Linked DNA regions of Saccharomyces cerevisiae S288C. Changing the gene in region 1 together with any one later gene gives a genetic interaction. Each region holds a gene or a part of one and is shown on either strand. Other genes may lie near its edges.

Region 1 (4,967 bases):
AATTCACTTCAAACATCAAACGTAAACAATACAAACAGAACTCTTCATGGATGATGGGTTTTAAAAAATTAGTCAAGACATAATTCTTAAAGTTCATAGTCTCATTTTTCATTTTCTTTTTGCCTGCTTTCTCTTTTATACATCGCCGCATAATTTACTAAACGCCCTTTGTGTTTGTGGGCGGAAAGAAATATATTCCCTTAAAATTTCCAGGAAATTATGTTGCTACAATGACTTATAAAGGGAAAAAATAAGAAGAGAAATCTTGGAAGAATACCCTAGTAAAATAGTGTACAAGGCAAAGTTCTTAATTATGCAAAATCGCCGTATATGAAATAGAACAACTTTTTATACAGCTTAAATACAGAATTCAAGTATGTTAATCAACATGAAAGAAAAAAAAAAAAAAATGCGAGTCATGAAACTACACGTTTTTTTCAGAGAATATTATCCATCTTGTGCTATGTATAATATACACTTATGCTTATTACAAAACTAATATGTTAAACAATTGAAAGATTTGTGTTTTTTTTCGGCCTTGCCTTCTCAACTAGGATTCAGTGGCAGGACTGACCCATTATCGGTAGAACCTCCTGACGTCATATCATGCTCGCTCGTCTTCTTAGCCTCATTATGCAGTGTATCTGCCTTTTTATCCAACAGTTCGTTAAAAAAATCGTATCCTCCGCTATGGGAACCTAGGCTGCTATCTTCTGTATGTGAGCCAATCCCTTGATGTACCACTTGAGGCTTGGCACCATCATTTTCAGCTGACTTTTCAACTGGAGGATTTGGATTCGTAGTAGCCAAGGATCTTAACGTTTCCCAAAAATCCAGGCCGTCTTCATCTCTCAATGGAGTATCAGATCTGGATGTAGTCCTTGATATCTCCGACTGATCAATGTGATTGAATTTATTGGTTGTCACAGATGATGAAGAATGATGCTGAGATGATTCACTTTTTCTTTTTTCTTTTTTCTTAGTTTTACTGCCGTTACTTCTTACTGAATTTGGAGATGGATTGAGTAACTTATTCAAGTCAGCACCTCTTGTCGCATCTGATGAGCCTAAATGAGGCCGTATAGTTGGTGGCAAATAGTTGAAATGCGCTATTCTATTAGGACCTACATCAGGTGGCATTTCTGAACCGCTCGTTGTATATGATGCCGTCGAACTTGGTGCCTTGCCATTTGTTCCATTGAAATTCGGTGACATACTATTAGCACTAACGTTTCCTTGAATGATTTCATTATTTGTAGCGGTAGAATTAGTTGGGATCAATGTATTTGCTTGAGGATAAAATACAGACGGGCTGTTTGTTTCTCTATTGCTTTGTGAACCAAGTTCATTTGCATTGTCAGCGGGATTGTGTGAAGTTGCTTCCAAGCTGAATGCGTTATAGTTGGGTGTTCTTGATAAAAAATCGCTATCCATGTTGTCCAGAGAAGTCCTATATTCTGGGTTAAAAGTGTCACTATTTGAATTTAACCCTGGAAGACCATTTCCCAGTTGTCTACCCATATGTGGGAAACTATCCATTAATAGAGGGTTTCCATTTATATTTCCTATATTTGACAATCCAGTATTGCTGCTGACAGGATGGTCTGTGGATGTAACATAATGATTGTGAATATGTTGATGTATCGAAATTTTTAAAGAGTACTTCTTAGCTTGGTCAACCAATTCTTTTACTAATTTTGTGCTGTCAATAGTTCCGTTAGAAATTGACAAACCTTGACCATCTTTTAATGTAAATTTCCATTGTGTGCTAGAGGAATTTGGTTCTCTAGTTTTCACAGTAGAATAAGCATGCTTCGGAGAATCTGAAATACTATTACTATTCATCATATGCTCATCGAGAGATGCTGGATTGAATGCTGGGGGAAGGCTTGTCTGTGGGCTATCTGAGATTCCTCCAGGACTTTGCTTGTTCATTTGAGAAAGACCTTCAATTGGTAAAGATACTTTGCTCCTAATGCTACCACTGGTATGAGTCTGACCGACTTGCGTCATCCTGATTGGTGGAGGTGCAGATATCTCTTTTAAGGGAGGTAATGCTTGTGGCTTGCTGTCATTTAAAATGGGTCCATCATTATCCTTTAATCTTGGTAGTTTGCTCGATTCGTTCTCTTTAACATTCAATATATCCTGCTTTATCAATGAAGGGTTGTTCTGTTGAGATAGCTGCAACTGTTCTTCTTTATTCGGTGTAGAATCTGAGCGTATATCAGAATCGGCGATTGGATGTTGTCGGAGTTTTCCGTCTGTCATGTCTATGTTCTTGTTTTCTTTTATAGCCTTTGTTATTACTTCTGATGCTTGTCCTCGCACAACCATAGTAATAATTTTCCGCCATCTGTTCCTGCACGTTAAACTTGGTCTGAATTCCATTTCCGACGAAATCTTTCTCCATTTCGTGCCGTATGCCTTCACTTTACTTATCAGATTTAAATCTTCCTCGAGCGTCCATTCTCTTAATCTACCTTTACTTCCAGGTCCCAACACTTCAATGTACCTTTTCGCACATTGATCCTCTGTTCTTCCAGGGATATCCATGGAGATACTCAGCCAGTGAGGCCCATGTTCTTCATAAGCTTTCAAGAGCTGCTCATCCTCTTCTTGTGTCCATTTACCTTTCTTCAAGTTTGGGTCCAGAGATCCTGTCCAACGCTTTCTTACATCCTTTGAAGTTCTTACGGTGTGTTTGAATCGTGTAGCTAAAACATCCCAAGCAATACATTTAGAAAGATGGTTGGATTGTTGAATTGTTTTTACGTCTTCAAGTCCATTCTCATAGCCTAACTCCTTTGCGGATTCGTTTACTAGCGATCGTAGCATATTATCGTCGTCCTTTGACCATGAATTTCTTCCATTTTTCCTGTGTGTCTGATAGCCAAGTGATTCAGTCACTTCAAGTAAATCGAAGCCGGATCCTCTTTTTGGCTTACTTTTTCGTATATCTTTGGTACTTATATTCGACATTCTCGATAAAATGTATTCTGCGATAAAAAAAAAAGAGCAAAAACGCTACAACAAAAGTTTTAAACAAAACTAATTTTGTTTACCCCACTAGAGATCAACAATTGTTGCAGAGAACGATTCAAATCAGCAAACCGGATTATCAGAAAGCAAATAATTAAACACAAAAAACGTACACTAGTCCTTTATAGTAAACTAATAAGAAAAATTTCTTATTATATAAATATAGCTGGTTAATTTCGATTGCTTTAAAGTTTCCTGGGGCTTTATTCTGTGACTGGACCCTATTTCTTCTAAAGGTCTTAACATAATTACTCATTCTCATTTTTTATTTTTTTCTTCGTCTGGCTCATCGCATTGTTCGGACCAAAAAAAAAAAAAAAAAGAAAAAAAGAAAAAAAAAAATAGTTTCTCCGTTGCACATCGTCAAAGGTGATTTCCCCACATCTATTATAAAGTTTTTCCGGAGTGCTTAAAAAAGGGATTGACATTTCTTCGAGAATTAGTTGAGAAACCCTTTTAGATTGTGCGCTGAGTAATCATTAGGTTGATTATAAGCTCTGAAAGGTTACTGCTACTGCTAGTAGTCTTTCAGGATCTTCAGTAAACTAAATAACCGTGGCATTGATCTTACTTTCCGTTTTCTTTTCGCTAAATCGGAAGTCATAAAGACAATGTTATTAAACCCAGATCAAATTCTAAACCTAGTTCGAAAAGTATATGAAGTAGATATTAAACAGTTTTATTCGCAATTACGGCTAAAGAACTTAAGAGGATTGTTAGACCATGCTGCTCATCTGTTTAATGTTTACCTGAGGGATTTAGAAATCAATCAGGAAATGGAAGCTTTGACAGCATTTATTATTGGTTGTTATTATCTGTACCTTATTATTCCACAATCGTTACAATTCCAAACAAGAAATAATCTCTACAGCAGTTACGCAAAGCTAAAAAACGACTATCAAGACGAACACGTGATGGGTTATGTGTTAAAAGTGGTAAGAGATGAAAGTACTGTTATTGTTGACCGGTATTTAGCGGAGTCAAACGGAATTTGCAGGACCATAAAAAGAAAAAGAGCCTACTCCTTACCGCTACGGCCTTTACCTGTTCATATGGCCTCTTTGTCAATACATAACAAGTTTGATGGCTCACTACATGAAATACCGAATGAGCTAACAAAACCAACAAATGATAATTCGAAAGAGGACATAGTCAGGGAAAGTAATCAGATAGCATCAAGTAATAAATTGGAAGCTGGTTCTGAAGTGGCGTACTACACAAGCAAAGAAGCATTATCAAAACCCTCGTATTTAAAACTCAGTACTGGAAAGGATGCATTATTCAAAACGCTGTCTAGTCCAGCAACTGCTCCCCCCGTGCACTCCTTGGAGGTTTCGTCACAAATCAGAGATTCTAGCCAAGATTCTTCATCCTCTTTATCCAAGGTGGAAAAGCCAAAGGAGGAAGAAGGAAAGATCGAGGCCATAGAATCTTCGGCCCCGAAAGCTTACAATCTACCAGTAATTGAAGATTCTAATGATCTGTTATCAGAGTTATCTATTACTGGCCTGCAAAATCCATGCAATACATGCTATATTAACAGTATAATTCAATGTCTGTTTGGCACTACCTTATTTCGGGATTTGTTTTTAACCAAGAAATATAGGCTATTCCTCAATACTAACAAATATCCGAAAGAAGTCCAACTTTCCCGCTCGATTTACGTTTTGTTCAAAAAAATGTATTTGAATGGAGGAAGAGCGATTATACCAAATAGATTCTTAAAAATGTGCAAGAAGTTAAGGCCAGATTTGAACATCCCAGATGATCAACAGGATACACAGGAATTTCTACTAATAGTTTTAGCACGAATACATGAAGAGCTCTCGAACGAAAATGTTGTCAAGTATTATCCAGATCTAGTGTCATATGATGCGAATGCTTTACAAGTTAACCCATCCAAATACGAGAAATGGTACGAGAGA
Region 2 (3,156 bases), on another chromosome or scaffold:
AGGTATGAGTTTTGTAGCCGTATCTCAACCAATGTTTGACACTGTGTTTATATATATTGAGAAGTCTGGGCAAATAGAGTTTTTCTTAAAACTGGTTCTAAAGATTAAGACAAAATCAGATTCAATCCCGGATGAGTTTGGTTCATCTTTGCTGTTTAATGACGAAGAAAAGAAATTGTACGTTTCCTCCCCAGGCAGTTTCGATGCAAGAGGAAGTATATGGAAAATTAGTATGGATGAGCTATTAAAGGCGGGAAACGATCCGAAGCGCAAAACCCTTTTGATTAATAATTTAAGGCATCTCATGCTCATAAATCCTGACAAAAGTAGCAAGGGTGTGTCAAATTTTGGTAATAGCATGATTTTGGGTCCCCAAAATCACCTTATAGTAGGCATTCCCCAATATGGGTATGGAAATTTTGATCACATGCAGCTAACCGGTAGAATCCTGGTACTTTAATGATAAGTTATTATGTACAAGCATCGGTTTAGTTCAATTACATTAATTTAATACTTGAAAAGCATATTTGGCAATATGCGCTATATATATTCTGATGTCATTTGCTTCTATTTACATTTCATTCATTTTTTTTCTCTGAATCCTTTTTTGCAATTTTTCTTGCCTCTCCTTCTTTCTCAATTCCTTTAACGCCCTCTTATCGTTGTTTTGTGGTTTAACGTCCTTTGGTATAAGTTTCATTATCATTTTCGAGTTCATGTTACCTAGCAGAACAGGATCATTAGCATATTCGCTAACTATCTCTTTCAATGTCTCCAAGACAGCAGCTCTTTTCTGGAAAACTGATTCTGGTAGCCTGGGTGGTTCACCTTTTTGAGAGCGGTCCAGCTCCTCAAAATTTTCAAGCCAATTGTTTGAATTTATGTTATTCTTGTCATCAAGATATAACGTTACTTTATTCCCTTTTTTCAATAGCGAAACTATTTCGTGAGCCTTCTGCCTTTTTAAATCATCGCTTTCAATCTGCCATGATATTTTAATATGCTTCAAGTTATCTTCTTTTTTATCAGTCACCAAATTCTTGTAAGACTTATTCAGTACTCCCAATTCCATCAGTTCCTTTTCCTTTTTTTTAGCCAGAAAGTCTGAATATTTTTTTAAGGCTACACGACTTTCGACTATCTTAACAAGTGGAATTTGATTTTCATTATCGATTTGCTCTACATTAACAATACTGAGTCCAACTTTATCGAGATCAATGCCCTTGGCAAAATACCGAATATTGGATGCTTCAATTCGGTGGGTAGTGGGATCCACAACTTTGATGTTTCCCTTGTGATTTTTTTTGAATATCTCACTAACAACTGAATTAGCTGCCTCTTTAGCTCGATCTGTCCCGGTGCTCCAAGTAATCAGGATTTTTTTCCTGTTAGTAGCATTCCTTGGCACTTGTTTCGGGCGCTTAATATACTCTTTAGGAAAAGCAGCATTTCTTGCCACATTTCCATGACTTTGCTCTTTAAGATTTGCCAGCTCACGTTTACGTTTCATTGCGTTGCGAAATATATCTGTGGTAGATGATGCATTGTCTCTGCTGAAGTATTTTGTGCAATGAAAATATCTAAAACTTTTTAAAAACAGCATCTTCTGTGAAAGAACATCACTCAAAGGAACTTTTAACATATCCACGGACCTGATGTTACCTCCTTACTGTGTATGCATCAGGTATGCATTTTGTGATATATAGCTGTTATAGTTTTCTGAACTTACTTTTTTAGACCCTTAAAGTTCTTACCGTCGCGGGAAAATTCAGGTAAAATTCAAGAGCTCAGGATGAAAACTAGACAAAAGGAACGAGATTACCTTCAACTCCTATGCCTTAAACATTTTTTGTTTCCTCAAGAAAATTTGTTTACAAAATCATTCCATCTTTTGTTTTAAATAAAAACTCGACTTTGGGAAATCATATTATTGAGTGTAATATACAAATAAAAATATTGGTTAAAAAAGTTTAATAATAGATTATAAATTTAAAATACGGATAGGTCTCTTATCATTCACATATCAACACCCATGACCATGGCCAACAAAGCCATTCTGACGAACAAACCATACTTCATTTGTCTGAAGTAAGCAGCACGATGATCGTAGTCCACTTCCTCTTTGATTTCATTTACACGAGGCAATGGATGCATGATAGCCATATTTTCTTTGGCGTGTGCCAAGATCTTGTTGTCCACGATATAAGTATCCTTCAGACGTGCATATTCTTCAGGGCTATTGAATCTTTCTTCTTGGACCCTTGTACAATACAGAACATCGGTCTTTGAGATGATATGAGGGGTTAATTCAATGCTCTCAACACCAAGTAAGCCAGCTTTTCTTAGCTCTTCTCTTAATCCTTCTGGTAACCTCAATTCCGGAGGAGAAACAAGATTAATTCTGACTTGATAGTGCATTAACAAACGACACAATGAATGTACGGTTCTACCATGTTTGAGATCACCCATGAAAGTAACAGTAATACCATTAACAGTACCGATTTCTTCACGAATCGTAAACAAATCCAAGAAGGCCTGCGTAGGATGCTCGCGAGAACCATTACCACCATTAATAATTGGAACAGGAGAATATTTAGCGGCGATATGAACAGACATTTCTTCTGAATGACGCATGACAATGGCATCACTGTAACAAGCCAAAGTTCTGATAGTATCTTGAAGGGTTTCACCTTTCTTGACAGAAGACACCAATGGATTAACATTTACAATTCTACCACCCAAACGTTCCATAGCAGCAATGAATGAAGAACAAGTACGAGTAGATGGTTCAAAGAAAATTGTAGTAATAACGTGGCCTTTCATTAAATCTAAGACACCTTCTCTTGCGACAGCTGCCCTTAGTTCTTGTGCAACAGCAAACAACACATGGAAATCAGAACGTTTGAATTGTTTGATAGACAATATATGTCTTCCGCGGAATGGATTGTTACTACGGATCAAATTCTGGATGGCGCCTGGAGCAACAAGTTCTCTTGGTGGCCTTGAAGACATCAATTTTTGTTCCAAAGGCTGTTCTGGAATTGCATCCTCCGCGGCATCTAAATTATCAGCGATTGCTTCTTCCGTGATCGAGAACCTTCTTTTAGCACTAGTAGATTGGAGCTCTGCGGAAGCAGTTATGGAAGCTGGACTTGG

What was found. A genetic interaction does not mean that the proteins touch.
Region 2: mutations in BAS1 (region 1) and AIM23 together harm fitness more than expected from each alone (negative genetic interaction), as found in Saccharomyces cerevisiae (one large-scale study listed by BioGRID).

What each region holds. Positions count from the first base shown.
Region 1 is NC_001143.9:633,866-638,832, reverse strand, and holds BAS1 (Bas1p), read right to left. Parts: upstream 2,983-4,967; coding exon 547-2,982; downstream 1-546. Other genes in the region: ubiquitin-specific protease UBP11, read left to right, coding at 3,654-4,967. UniProt on the Saccharomyces cerevisiae protein: Activates HIS4 transcription only in combination with PHO2/BAS2. BAS1 is also involved in the regulation of the purine biosynthesis pathway.
Region 2 is NC_001142.9:163,707-166,862, forward strand, and holds AIM23 (Aim23p), read right to left. Parts: upstream 1,643-3,156; coding exon 572-1,642; downstream 1-571. Other genes in the region: YJL132W (uncharacterized protein), read left to right, coding at 1-460; URA2 (bifunctional carbamoylphosphate synthetase/aspartate transcarbamylase), read right to left, coding at 2,017-3,156.